2 linked regions of the Elephas maximus indicus genome follow. The protein of the gene in region 1 interacts with the protein of each later gene in a biochemical or structural test. Links are inferred from orthologs where the notes say so. Each region holds a gene or a part of one and is shown in the gene's direction. Other genes may lie near its edges.

The links. The genes of interacting proteins can lie anywhere in the genome.
Region 2: the proteins of DDX39A (region 1) and SARNP form a complex in vitro, tested with the Homo sapiens proteins (2 studies listed by BioGRID). The link is inferred for Elephas maximus indicus from reciprocal best matches to the Homo sapiens genes DDX39A and SARNP.

The regions. Positions count from the first base shown.
Region 1 is NC_064821.1:33,009,463-33,016,772, reverse strand, and holds the start of DDX39A (ATP-dependent RNA helicase DDX39A), read left to right. Parts: upstream 1-4,284; coding exon 4,285-4,492; intron 4,493-4,807; coding exon 4,808-4,935; intron 4,936-6,672; coding exon 6,673-6,765; intron 6,766-7,155; coding exon 7,156-7,310. UniProt on the Homo sapiens protein: Helicase that plays an essential role in mRNA export and is involved in multiple steps in RNA metabolism including alternative splicing. Regulates nuclear mRNA export to the cytoplasm through association with ECD.
Region 2 is NC_064822.1:115,787,028-115,794,215, reverse strand, and holds the start of SARNP (SAP domain-containing ribonucleoprotein), read left to right. Parts: upstream 1-4,107; 5' UTR 4,108-5,535; coding exon 5,536-5,580; intron 5,581-7,188. UniProt on the Homo sapiens protein: Binds both single-stranded and double-stranded DNA with higher affinity for the single-stranded form. Specifically binds to scaffold/matrix attachment region DNA. Also binds single-stranded RNA. Enhances RNA unwinding activity of DDX39A.

The DNA.
Region 1 (7,310 bases):
GCCTCCGTGTTATCCAATCACCGCCGCCGCCACTCTTGAATAACAAGGTGGTGGTCCAGTAAGTGGAGCAGCAGGCGACCGCTGGAGGCAGGAAGCGCGCCTGCCCGTGTTGGAGCGCGCGGTTGCTAAGTGGAGTCGGTTGGCTCTCGTAGCAGCACGCGGAGGTGAACCCAGAATCAGGTAAGTGGCAGAGCCGTGGTGAGGTGCCCCCAGGCCTGCGGGCGAGCGGATGAGGGAAGACGCCGGGTGTGGAGGGAGTAGAGGATGGGGCGCGAGCCCTGAGGGGTGGGAGCGGGTGTTGGGGCGCCCCGCGCGCCCGGTGGCCGTTGAGCGCGGGGGCGCATGCGCGAGGGGCGGGCTGGCCGTTGGCGTGCGGGGCCGCTTCCGGGAGGGGTTGTCATGGCCGCCGACCCCTCGAGCCCGACCTGTGACTGAGCTCGTCTGTCTGTCGTCCGAACAGAGCCCGAGGCAGCCCAAGGCGCTTTGGGGAGGGCCCGGGGGGCGAGAAGCTGAACCTTCGAGACAGGGCGGGCCTCTCCGAGTCCCAGAAATCCCCTTCACCGGGCTCTGTTCTTGCCCGGTGTTTGGGAGATTTGGGGTTCCAGAGATTTAGGGGAAAAAAAAAGATTTCTTTCGGAAATAGACGACCCCAGTAAGGAGCAAACTCGGGGGTGGAAAGCTGCACTTAAGAGCGAATGGATGCGAGTATCGTGTCTGGGTTGTCACTATCTCAGTGTCAATTTCCAAGTTCACCCACTCCAGGAGGTCCGCCACATCGTATCTCCTTCTGATCTAATTTGCTTTGAGCATTATATCTTGTCCAGTCACCTCCTGGAGATTTTTGTGCCTCAAACTGAACTTCAGATTTCCACCAAAAGCAATCCAAAAAAAACCACAAAAATTTCATTTGACCTTCTCAATAATTTTAAATACACCACCTCCTCTTGGTCACCCAGGTTTGAAGCCCAGAGTAGATGACCCTGGCTCTTTGCTCTTGGGTCATCCAGAGTCTGGATTATTCTACGCTCTTCTCTGTACTTGATGAATGCCCCCATCCTGGTTTTCTCTGCTGCTGGTCCCTCCTCCGGAAACCTTGGTGGCTAGTGATTAAGACCTATGGCTGCTAACCAAAAGTTCAACAATTTGAATCCACCAGGTGCTCCTTGGAAACTGTATGGTGCAGTTCTGTTCTGTCCTATAGGGTCGCTATGAGTCAAAATAGACTCCACACAAGTGGTTTGATTTTTATTTTTAGTCCCTCCTGCACTCCATCCTCATCCTGGTTGAGTCACTCAATTCAGAAGCTCGTCAGTGATTTCCTGTTGCATAGTAAATTGAGTACAAATGCCCTGGTCTTCTGCCTGTACTTCAGCCACGAAGTCCTACTCCCATTCCCCAAAAGGGTCTGGTGCTTTTCCCAGTGGCCGTTCTTGCCTCATGTCGTTTTTCCTCCTGCCTGTTTTTGCTACTCAGAATCCTCAGGGACCTTATCAGGTGCTGCTGCTTTCAAGGATCAGGTAACAGACATGCTTACTTTAGCCCCAGAACTCTGCCTTGAGGCCTTGATCCTAGTAGGACTTTGGATCGATTTGTTTCAATTTCACGCTCTGCTGAGAGTTAGTATTTCCACTCTGGATATACTGAATCAATCTACATTTTAACCAGATCCCCTAGTGATTCTTACGGATCCTGGGGATCTTGGTAGAATGCATATTTGTATTCAAAATGTCTGGGTATAAAAGCAAATTCTCAGTAGGGGGTCGAACCAAAACAAACCATTTCAAAGCCCTGGATTCTAATTCCATTCATTCAATCAGTGCTCGGTGAGTACCTTCCTGCTGTGTGGCAGGCCCTGTTCTAGGTGCTGGGGACACAGTAATCCACAAAACAGCCAGTCAGGTGAGAATGACAAATACATGACACGTCAGGTGGGAAGAAGAATAAGCTGGGTAGGGTCTCCTGTGCCTGGAGGGTATGCTGTTGTAGTTGGGACCCTCAGGAAAGACCCTTCCGGAGCGACATAATTTGAGTGAAGGAACAGTGAGTGCAGAGGCACAGAGGGGAGTTAGAGGCATTCAGGGGATGAGATCTGAGGGCAGTGGGGGGTCAGGTCGAGTCAGATGTGATAGGCCATGGTAAGGACTATTCCTAGCAGATGGGAGCCATGAGTGGAGGTTGTGTACACAAGTGATATGATCTGACTTGGTTCCCTCTGGTTGCTGTGAACGTGGGGGAGGCAGAAGCTGGGGACCACCGAGGAGGCTGCTGCCATAATCCAGCCAAGAGTCCAGCTGTGGATGAACAGGGAAACAAAACATGGTGCATCCGTACAATAGGGTATTATTCAGCCACGGAAAGGAATGAAGTTCTCATTCATGCTACCGTGTGGATGAATCTTGAAAACATTGTGCTAAGGGAAAGAAGCCAGACACAAAGACCACGTATTGTAGAATTCCATTGATATGGAATGTCTGGAGACAGGAAGGAGGTTAGCAGTTGCCAGGGGATTGGGAGATCGGAGGGTGAGGTTGGTAGCTAAGGGTATGTATGGGGTTTCTTTTTGAAGTGATGAAATGTTCTAAAATTGATTGTGGGGATGATTGCACATGTCTGAATTGTGTACTCTAAATGGGTGAATGGTAAGGTAGGTAGATTTTATCTCAGTGATCCTGTTCTAATTAAAAAAGGAGGTGATGGCCAGTGTGGTAGCAGGGTGAGGTGGCTGATCGACCTGGCAGGGTTTGCTGGTGAATGGGACATGGAGGATGAGCAAGAAGAGGCAGGCACTGAGAGAATGGAATTGCCGCTTATGAGATGGGGAGAGCTGGCTGTGGGGAGAAACAGTTTTCATTCTAGGCATTTTGAGTTCAAGGGGAGATGTGGAGAAGGCAGCTGTGGAAAGGAGTCTGGAGGTCAGGGGAGAGGTTGCCTCCAGAGACACAGGCTTGGGAGGGGCAGCACAGAGATGTTTAAGCGGGGAGGGGGGCGGGGTACTGGATGAAGTCACAGAGAGAGAGAGAGAGAGGAGGACCAGAAATGGGGCCCAGGGCACAGCACTCAGGCTCGGGAAGAAGCACTGCTTCTGCACCTCTGCCCCCGTTGGGCTGGAGGCTGGGCTGGGGCGGGAGGGTGGAGGGAGACTGTCCTCAGGCTGTCCTCAGGTTTGGATCCCGGGTGGCACAGCTGCACCCTGTGCTCTGTACGTGTTGGACTAAATAAAGTGAGGAGGTGAATGAGCTTCGTATTAATTCCATTTACTGCCTTGGCTTTATTTTTATTGGCCCTGGGCCCAACGGGAGGCCTTTTCCTGAGAGCACTTAATTATTCCCCTGTGCCAACCACAAATAGCGGGAGAAGCTGAGCGGCGCAGACACCACTCCCTAACAAACGCCCTCCTCCAGCATTGCAGCAGCTTTCCTTAGGGCCGTGACCCCATCTCTAGGTCTCTGGGATCCTGTACTACGCAGCCCAGCAGGGCACATGGAGAGTGGTGGGCAAGGGCAGCTTTAGGCTGGGGGTCTGAGGAGGGCACTTTAGAGCTGAAATGGAGCATTCTTGCGAGGACCTGGGGCTCCTCTAGCCTAAGAAACAAAGCTGGCCTGGTATGAGGGGAGTGGTGCTGGATGAGGGGGGCAGGGCCCCACAAGGAGGGGTGGAAATTGGGGCTCACTCTGAGAGCACTGGGAAGCCTTTGAGGGTCTTTGTAAGTGTATGTGGGTGTGACCACCTGGTGTGTGTTTTAGCTGCCATTGGGCTGGCTTTTGACTCATGGCGACCCCATGTGTTAGAGAGTAGAACTGCTCCGTAGGGTTTTCTTGGGTATCATCTTTATAGAAGCAGATTTCTAGGCCTTTCTTCTGTGGCACCCCTGAGTGGGTTTGAACCGCCAGCCTTTCAGTTGGTAGTCTAGTACAAACCATTTGTACCACCCAGGGACCTTGATGGTATGTGTTTTACGAGGGGCAGGTGTGGTGGAAGGGCAGGGGGTCGAGGCAAGGTGAGGTGGCTTCGACCAGGGTGGTGGGGGTGCAGATGGGGAGACGGGATGCAGTTGGAGGCAGCTCATGGTTGGAGCTTGCGGGACCCGCCGATGATTCAATGTGGAGGTGACGAAAAGAGTCAGGATGGCATCGAGTAGTCTCGGCTGGGTGGGCTTCCATGCTTGCTTTCAAGACTGGCCAGCAGTGTCATACCGCCTTGGGACCTGTCCACCTTGCCCGGCAAGTTTTCCTGCAAGCATCTGGGTCACTGCCCTCTGCCCTCCTCTGCTCTGTTCTCAGCACTATGGCAGAACAGGATGTGGAAAACGAGCTTCTGGATTACGAGGAAGATGAAGAGCCCCAGGCGCCTCCAGAGAGCACTCCAGCTCCATCCAAGAAAGATGTCAAGGGTTCCTACGTTTCCATTCACAGCTCTGGCTTCCGGGACTTTCTGCTAAAGCCAGAGCTACTGAGGGCCATTGTGGACTGTGGCTTTGAGCACCCATCTGAGGGTATGCCTCCCTGTCTTCTCGCCCTGCCAGGACCCTCACCAAGACCAGCTCTGCCCGTAGATGGGAACATGTGCCTTCCTGGTGGGGTTGGTGGTGCTTAGGCAGGGTCTGTGGCTCAGAGGTGTCCAGTAGCTGCCCTTTGCAGCGTGGTACTCTGCTTTACCAGACAGATACCCCAGACCCACAGTTGTTTGTGACATGATAGGCCCTGGCCTCCTCTCCTTGCCCTCACCAGGGCCTCTTGGCCAGCCCGTGAGGAGCCTGCACAGAGGGGGCACCCAGCATCTGGCCGCTCAAATCCTTTTCCTCCCACAGTCCAGCACGAGTGTATCCCCCAAGCCATCCTGGGGATGGACGTCCTGTGCCAAGCCAAGTCTGGAATGGGCAAGACAGCGGTTTTCGTGCTGGCCACCCTGCAGCAGATCGAGCCCGTCAATGGACAGGTATGGGTGACCTCCCCTCCCAGCCCAATCCGCTGAGCAGAGGGCCCCCTTTCCCTGCAGCACACTGCTTCCTGTTCCTTTTTCATCTCTTCTTAAACATTTCTGTCTTCACATTCTTTTTTTTAATTGTGCTTTTGATGAAAGTTTTATAGGCCAAGTTAGTTTCTCATACAAAAACTCATATGCACATTCATATGTGACCATAGTTGCTGTCCATGTAATGTGACAACACATTCCTCCTTTTCACTCTGGATTTCCCATGTCCATTCAACCAACTCCTATTGCTTTCTTCCTTCTCCTCTCACCTCTGGACAGGAGCTGCCCATTTCGTCTTGTGTATCCTCTTGAACTAAGAAGCACACTCTTCAGTAGTATCAAATTATGTCTCATAGTCTAGTCTAATCTTTCTCTGAAAAATTGGCTTCAAGAATGGTTTTATTTCTGGGCTAAACGGAGAGTTTGGGGGCTATGTCTTCTGGGCTTCCTCCAGTCTCTGTCAAACCATTAAGTCTGGTCTTTTTGCTAGAATTTCAGTTCTGCATCCCACTTTTCTTGTGCTCCATCAGGGACTCTTTAATGTGTTCCCTGTCAAGGTGGTCGTTGGTAGTTGCTGAGTACCATCTAGTTCTTCTGGTCTCAGGCTGATGGAATCTCTGGTTTACGTGGCCCTTTTTGTCTCTTGGGCTAATATTTTCCTTGTATCTTTGGTGTCCTTAACTCTCCTTTGCTCCAGGTGGGTTGGGATCAATTGATGCATTTTAGATGGCCACTCATTAGCTTTTAAGACCCCAGACACCACTCATCAAAGTGGGATGCAGAACATTTTCTTAGTAAACTTGGTTATGCCAGTTGACCTAGGTGTCCCCTCAAGCCATGGTCTCCAGACCTCCACCTTTGCTATACTGTCTCTTGAAGTGTTTGGTTGTGTTCGGGAAACTTCTTAGCTTTTGGTTCAGTCCAGTTGTGCTGACTTCCCCTGTATCATGTCTTGTCCTTCACTTCGTGTAAGATAATTCTTGTCTACTGTCTAGTTGGTGAGTTCCCCTCCCTACTCATAACCATCAAAGAATATTTTCTTCTGCGTTTAAACTTTTTCTTGAGATCTCGTAATAGTGGTCTCGTGCAATATTTGTTCTTTTGCAACTAATTTCACTTAGCATAATGCCTTCCAAATTCATCCAGGTCATGAGATGTTTTCCAGATTCATCGTTGTTCTTTTATCATTGCATGGTATTCTGTTGTCCCGCATTAGTTTTGTGGGCTTATAAGATTAAATGTAGTATTGTAATAAAATCAGAAAATATCAATAAACCAAAAAAAGTATCCATAGTTTTTCTACATAAGGAGATCACTTATATTAAATGATGTGTGCACTCTTAGATTGTTTTCATAAAGGCGGGTGTGTACTGAGTGGAGCTCCATTAGCGCAGGCCACCTGGGCTAGGCTGGGCCTCATTGACCTTATTGCATGTGTGGGTAGGGGTGCCCATCAGGAGCTCCCTGCCTTCTTGGCGGGAGATAGGCCTCAGTAGCTAGGAGAGGGTGAAGGGCCATGAGGAGGTGGAAGCATGGGACTGGGCATGCTAATGGCCTAGGTGTGGGGAACAGTGGGAGGTCCAGCGTGGGGTTAGGCTTGAATATTGTCAGTTGGGAAGGGAAGAGCACACTGGCATGGGCTTTGGGCCCTGGGAAGGGTTAGGACCTTGGCTTAAGGACCCCTCTTCTCCCACCCGACAGGTGACAGTCCTGGTCATGTGCCATACTCGGGAGCTGGCCTTCCAGATCAGCAAGGAATATGAGCGCTTCTCCAAGTACATGCCTAATGTGAAGGTGAGCCCCTTGGGCTGGGCCCAGTGCCCAGTGGTCTTCTGCAGTGTGCTGGCCTCAGCTGTGGCTCAGCCAGCGTTTACTAAGCTTGGCTGCAGCAGCTGCCTCTGAGGTTTGCGGTAGTTTATGCTCCTTAAAAGCCTGATGAATTATGCATGGCCCCCAAGGCCTTTGCTGCCCCAGCCCTGGGGCTGCTTTTCAGGGGCGCTGGCCAGGCTCTCAGGCTTGTGTCCCTGCAGGTCTGGCTTGTTCTCAGGCATGGGGGTGGTGATGGGCATCCTTGGGGGTTGCAGGCCTGTGCTGGCAGGGCCATGGGCTGGGTGTCAGCACAGAGGGTGGGGTGCCGAGCCTTTATGCCAGGTGGGCAAAAGCAACTTCTCCGTGTCCTCGCAGGTGTCAGTGTTCTTCGGTGGCCTCTCCATCAAGAAGGATGAAGAAGTGCTGAAGAAGAATTGTCCACATGTTGTGGTGGGGACCCCGGGCCGCATCCTGGCGCTTGTGCGGAACAGGAGCCTCAACCTGAAGAATGTGAAGCACTTCGTGCTGGA
Region 2 (7,188 bases), on another chromosome or scaffold:
CGCGCCTCTACCTAAAAATACCTAAACTCTTTTGAACCCGCCCCATACTTCTCCCAGCTTCCCTCTCTCGTTCGTCAGGTCCCCTCAGGGCTCTCTCCAGCACTCATCTCTCGGTTTGTAACTCCCCCACACCTCCTTTCCCCCTCCCACCTTTTTTCCTCAGTAACCCCTTTCCAGTCTCCCGGTAGCCCCTACCTGACAGCTCCCCTCCTACAGCACGGCGCTCGCTTCCACACCTGTAGTCTCCAGGAAGCAGCCGTCCCCGCCCATTTGTACTCTCCCTATTGGTGGAGCAGAATCAGCGCTTCCACCACCCATTGGCTGGCGGTCTGCAATGGAGACTCCAATTGGTCGCTATTTCCGTCGTTCAGAAGCGGCAGAACCCGCCCTTTTCTCTGTCCCACCTTTTGAGAGAGGTGGGGAAAGCTGCTGAGAAGAGCGAGAGCGACACCACTTCTTGACTAATGGGAAGAGCTGATGGTGTGGGGTGGAAGTAAGACTGACAGCGATTGGTCCGCCGTTTTCTGCGCGTAAGCGGGCGCTCTTGGCGGCAGAAGGGGCGGGTGGGGGCCTAGTGGAGTAGAGGGGGTAACAAGATGGCGGCGGAGACGGTGGAGCTTCATAAGCTGAAGGTACCGTGAAGGGGAGAATGGCTGAGTTGGACTTTTCTGGAAACTGGATTCTGCAGAGTGGCTTGCGCCTTCTTCTGCGTGTTCTCCTTGTAGCTTTTTTCCATTTTCTTTTCCCTCTCCCGCCGTAGTTAGTCGGCTTTTCTTTTGTGCCTGCCGTCTTCCCACTACTCCTCTACTTTTCCGTTTTTCCTCGTGGCTTTACAGTTATTTTTACTTGTTATTTCGACTTCCCAATTTTCTTAATCGCTGTATCGTCGGTCAGCCTTCCCCACTGGGTTGTGTAAGTGCCTTCTACCTGTTATACTCCTTTTTCGTTTCTTGTCAGAGGTGCATTACGTCAGCGGCCCCCTCTTTTTCCCCCTGCGCCGACACGGGACCCCCCCTTTCTTCCGAGTTGATGCTTCCCGTCTGTTTATCAAAGTTGAGATTCCCCTATTAGGTGATTGCACCTTTGTGTATTTGTGTCGAGGACCGAGACGTGATCCAGAAAATGCTTCCACTTCTTTTTACAGGTGGGGTTACGCCCCCGGAGGCTAACTTTGAAACCTGGGCGAGACCTGGGGTTCAGGGGACCTTAGCAGTTAGTAAAGGCACAGACACCTCAGATTTAAAAGTTTTTCGAGTTCTCTTTGTGGCTCCCGGTCCTCCAGGCCGCACCTCCTTACCTCCCCCCTTGGAGAAAGAACCCTTAGCTTCAGTTCTGTGGAATACAATGCCAAGGTTAGGTTTGTCTCAGTCCCTTGCATATCGCGTGGATGGACCTTGCATCTCTTGATATCACGACTGACACTCCGAATCACAGAAGCTATTTAAAGTTATGGGTCTTGGTAGCTTTCTCACATTTAGATTATCATTTTCGTTCAAGAAAAGAGTAGTTTCTTTTAGGGCGAATTAACTTGATAAGTTGTCCATTTTTGGTTTCACAAATAGTTGTCCCATCAGATGTTTTGGTCACGTTCTGGGAATCGTGATCGAAACAGGCCGATTTAGCCAAAAGTGAAAATTGATCCTTTAGAACTTGATGACCAGTAAGTTTAAGTAGTAAAGATAGAGGTCCTTTCTTTAATCACTTATTAGTTGACACCAATTATCCTTTCTGTGAAAGCCGATCTATTTCTTACCGTTGATTTCTAAATTGTACTAGTGGGTTTTTTTTGTTATGCTGGTGTTACTGCTAAGTTGATGGTACTGAAATGGGTAGGTTATATCGGTGGCCTCTTAATATCATGATGAGTAAAAACAAATTACGCCACCACCTTCATTGTATGTATACTTATATATAAATTACATACATACTACTGTGTTGTTATGTATATTATAAAAAACACACACAAAAGGAACTTTTGAGTGGATGAGATGAAAGGAAATATGAATAGAAAACTTAGTATTTTCTTCCTATTCCATGACTTGCCTTTTTGGATTTTGTGTTTATAGAGTTCCTCCTTCCGTCAAATCTGTATTTTTCAGATCTATATTAAATTTGCATTTAATTGGTTAAGTCGCTTTTACAGAATGTCCTCTGACCTGATTTCAGGTTTTAGATATTAAGAACATGAGGCATTCCAGGCAGCCTAAAAAGGACTCACCCTTTTAATCACATTTGCTTGTCTTTGCTTTTTCTCTAGAGTACTTCTTAACCTTTTGGAGGTCACAGATCTCTTTGAAACTCTGATGAAAGGTATGGACCCTCTTCCCCCACAAAAAGGCATGTATACATATTTTGCATGCAATTTGAGGGGCCTCGTAAAACTACCTGGTAGCCCTGAGGAGTCCATGGACCTCTAGTTAAGAACTCATGCCTTTAATTCTGACTTTCAGGACAGGTGATAGAGTGATCCTGACTTTTGGGTTGACTTAGGGTTTTATCTCTTTCTTTTTTTTTTAAACCTTTCCATTTTTTATAAAGGGGGTTTGGGGCTTTAAAATGGGACCTGGAGTTACTGTTAAGGAACAAGATTTGAAGTGAACGAAAAATATTATCTGTCTAAATTGGCACTGGAGCCCTGGTGGCACAGTGGTTGAGAGCTCAGGCTGCTAACCAAAAGGTCGGCAGTTCACATCTACTAGGTGCTCCTTGAAAACCCTATGGGGCAGTTCTACTCTGTCCTATAGGGTCTCTATGAGTCGGAAACAACTCGACAGCAACGGGTTTGGTTTTTTTGTTTTTGGTTTACACTGGCAATAAAGATTTTATAGAAGTGCAGTCATGCTAGCACAGTTGGAAAGAGACAGAACTGTGGATGTGGGTGAAAATGTCTTTTGAACTGTAACAGTACCAGATTTCTAGTCAAACATTAAAAAATGGACTATTGCAGAGGAGAGGAGAGAGGTATAGTAGTGTCAGTGTTAAGAATAGTGAGACATTTGCATTATTGAAGCATAACGTGCATATATGTGGATAGCTGAAGATAGTTTGGAAGGGAAAACTAGGTGAACTGTGTGACTATAAGGGTGGATTGCACTGATACTGAAAAGGGCCTTCTAAGTTGTGGAGCCCTGGTGGTGTAGTGATTAAGAGCTCGGCTGCTAACCAAAAGGTCAGCAGTTTAAATCCACCAGCCGCTTCTTGGAAAATCTATGGGGCAGTTCTGCTCTGTCCTATATGGAACAACAGCATCTAAAACAACGAATTGTGTAAGGAGTTTGGCTTTTGTCATGTAGGCAGAAGGAGGATGATCAGACCTGTCTGTGTTCTACTGGCAGTGCAGAGGGTGGAATCTGGAGGGGGACAGATTTTATCATTACTTCTCAGCTTAAAACCTTTTAATGTCTCTCCAATGTAGTTTATAACACTCCAACCACAGTGGCTTTATTTCATTTTCTCAGAATGGCTATATTCATTAATTTCTAACACTAACATATCATTTACTATGTGGCAAGCACTGGTCAATGCTGTTTACATACATTAACTAATTTGATAAGGTAAATACTACTATTATCCCATTTTAAGATGAGAAAACTGAAGTGCAGAGAGATTAAATAACTGATTAAGTAATTTGCTGTATGTCACAGCTAAGTTGTGGTTCACACCCAGGCAGTCTGTCTCAAAAATTGATGTTCTTAGATCACCATGGACTACTGCCTCTTGTTTTTACCTCAGAATCTAGAACCTTCACAAATGCTGCAGTTTCCTTTTGCCTACAGTGCTCTTGCCACCTCCCACTCCCCGCAATACCTTTGTCTAATCAACTGCTAGTCACCCTTCAGATATCATTCAAGCATTGTTTACCCAAGGAAGCCTTCCCTGCCCTCTCTATCCATGCACATGATCAGACCTCTTTTCATACGCTTTTATAGAGCCTTGAGCTTGTTTTTTTTTTTAAGTCAGTTAAACACTTTTTATGTGATCATTAATTGCCTTGTTCCCCTACTAGATTGTAAGTTCCATGCAGGCAAAGACTTTTTTTCCTTATGATTATTTTCCTGTATTTAAGATAATGCTTGATTCACAGTAGGTGCTCAGTAACTATTTGTCAAAAGACCTGAAATAAGGTAGTGCTTATTAGAATGGGAACAAATTTGGAATGTAGAATTGTATGAATTTATAGATTAGTTAAATGTGGGAGGAATGAAAGATGACTCCAAGATTGACTCCTTTAGGTTGGGAAGAGGAGGAAGAGCCAGTCTTGTATAGGAGAGAAATTTAGTTTTAGGCTTAAGAGTCTTTAGGACGTCACTTTGGAGATGTCTAGTAGTCAATTGGAAATATGGGGTTTTTTTGCTGAAGAGCTGAGAGTTTAGGGGTAAAAGTCTGGGTTTCATTTTAAAAATACTTATTGAGTACCTACTACGTGCCAGCTACCGTAAAGGTGCTAGGAATTCAGCAATGAACAAAACAGACAAAAATCCTTGCCCTCATGGAGGTTATATTTTTCTGGAGAAGGCACAATAAAATGGTGATATGGTCTGTAGAGAAAAACAGGAAGTACAGTGGGAAAGATGCTGTCATTCTAAATAGGGTGACCAGGTAAGGTCTCTTTGAGAAGATGTTGAAGCAAAGATTTGAAGGAGGTAAAGCAGTGAGCCATGTGGAAAGTGTTAGAGGGGTAGCGTAAGGGGCCACGTGGCTTATCGAAGTGAGCAGTGCTAGTAGGAATAGTAGAAGAGGGGTCACAGAGGTAATGGTGGGGAATGGGGAATAGATTGTGTAGGGCCTTGTAGGTGATGATTAGGACTCTAGCTTTTATCCTTTATGATATGGAAAACCAGTGGGGGAATTTTTTAATAGAGGAGTGACATGACTGACTTCAATTTTCTTTTTTTGTGTGAACATTTTCTTGTTGTTTAGGTTAAGTTTACAGAGCAAATTAGTTTTCCATTCAATAATTTATGCACAGCTTGTTTTGTGACCTTGGTTGCAAACTCTTGAATGTGTCTGCACTCTCCCCCCTTCCTTCCTGGCTTCCTGTATCCATTCACCCAGCTTTCCTGCCCCTACCATCCTTCTGAGCTGTGTTTTTAGGCAAATGCTGCCCCTTAGGTCTCATATAGTTGATTGTTCTGAGATGTACATTCCTCACTGGTGTTAATTGTTCATCTTATAGGCCTGTTCTGCTGTATGGCTATAATGTGATCTCTGGGAGTGATTTCAGTTCCAAGTTAGAAGAGTGTCTAAGGAGTATAGCCTTGGGAGCTCCCCCAGTCTCTATCAGACCAGTAAGTCTGGTCTTAGTTTGAATTTTGTTCTGTATTTCTCATTTCATTCTGTCCATGACCTACTATTGTGGTCTCAGTCAGAGCAGTCAGTAGTGATAGCTGAACACCATCTAGTTCTTCTGGACTCAGGCTGGTGGAGGCTGTGGTTCAGGTGGTCCATTAGTCCTTTGGACTAATATTTTCCTTGAGGCTTTGGTTTTCTTCACTCTTCTTTGCTCCAGACAGGAAGAGACCAATTGTATCTTAGATGGCTGCTCGCAAGCTCTTGAGACCCCAGGTGCTGCTCAACAAGGTAGGATGTACAACATTGTATGGAGTAAGATATGCCAGTTGATCTAGATGTCCCCCGGGACTATTCTAACTCTCAAGACCAGTATCTCAGTCCCATGAGGTATATGGTTATGGCTAAGACGTTTTCATGACTATGTCCCTTGTGTGCACAACTACATACATGGATGTGTTTGTAGCATGTACACATACGTATGTCTGACTTAAATTTTCAAAGAATCAATCTGACTAGAGAATAAACTATAGTGAGATAACAGCTGAAGAGGTTTTTACAATAGTCTGTATGATAGGAAGACCTGAGGAGTAGTGTTCAAGGTGATGAAAAGGAATTAGATTCTAGATATATTTTGAAAGTAGAGGTGACAGGATTTGCCAGTGATTGGATTCAGGGGAGTGAACACGTTTGTTACAAGTGAAATGAGAGCAAAAGAAGGAATCTTAGTGAATACCAGTATTTATGGGGTTGGGTAGAGCAAGAGCTAGTAAGGAGGCTGAGGAAAAAACCAAACCTGTTGCCATCCGGTCAGATTGATTCCAACTCATGGTGACCCCAAAGGACAGAGTAGAACTGCTTCATGGGGTTTCCAAGTTGGTGGATTCGAACTGCTGACCTTTCGGTTAGCAGGCCAGCGCTTAACCACTGTGCCACCAGGGTTCCTTTGAGGCTGAGGAGGAGAGAGAGGTAAAAGAATCAAGAGAGAGCAGTGTTAGCACCTTAGTAGTTAAGATTATGAGCTTGAATCACAGAGACCCTAGCTGGCATATTGGCTCCACTGTTTACTAGCTGTGTGATCATAAACCAACTGAATCTGTTTAAGTCTCATTTTCTTAATTTATAAAATGGGGATCATAATACCAACTACATAAGTTTGTTTTAAGGATTAAATGAGAAAATGCATTCAAGGTACTTAGCATCTGGTCTGCTACATACTCCAAAACCCATTGCTGTCGAGTCGATTCTGACTCATAACCCAAAAAACCCAGTGCATAGTGACCCCATAAAACCGTATTGTTGCAGTCAAGCCGATTCCAACTCATAGTGCCCCTATAGGACAGAGTAGAACTGCCCCGTAGAGTTTCCAAGGAGTGCCTGGTGGATTCAAACTGCTGACCTTTTGGTTAGCAGCCGTAGTCCTTAACCACTAAACCACCGGGGTTTCCAGTGACCCCATAGGGTTTCCAAAACTATAAATCTCTACTGAAGCAGACTGCCACATCTTTCTCCCATGGAGCTGCTGGTGGTTTGAACTGCTGACCTTTTGGTTAGCAGTGGATCGCTTTAACCACTGCGCTGCCAAGGCTTCTTATGGCATTTACTAGTACTTGAAAATAAATACGTGTTTGAGTTTCTGCTATGTGAAATGTTGTACATGATATAAAATGTCTGTTCTCTGAGAGTTTACAAACCAAATGGAGAGATCAAACCAAACCAAACCTGTTGCCGTCAGGTCGATTCTGACTCATAGCAACCCTATAGGACAGAGTAGAACTGCCCTATAGCGTTTCCAGGTAGCGGCTAATGGATTCGAACTGCCAACCTTTTGGTTAGCAGCTGAGCACTTCACCACTGTGCTATCAGGAGAGATTAACAAATGAAAAATATTTCCAATAA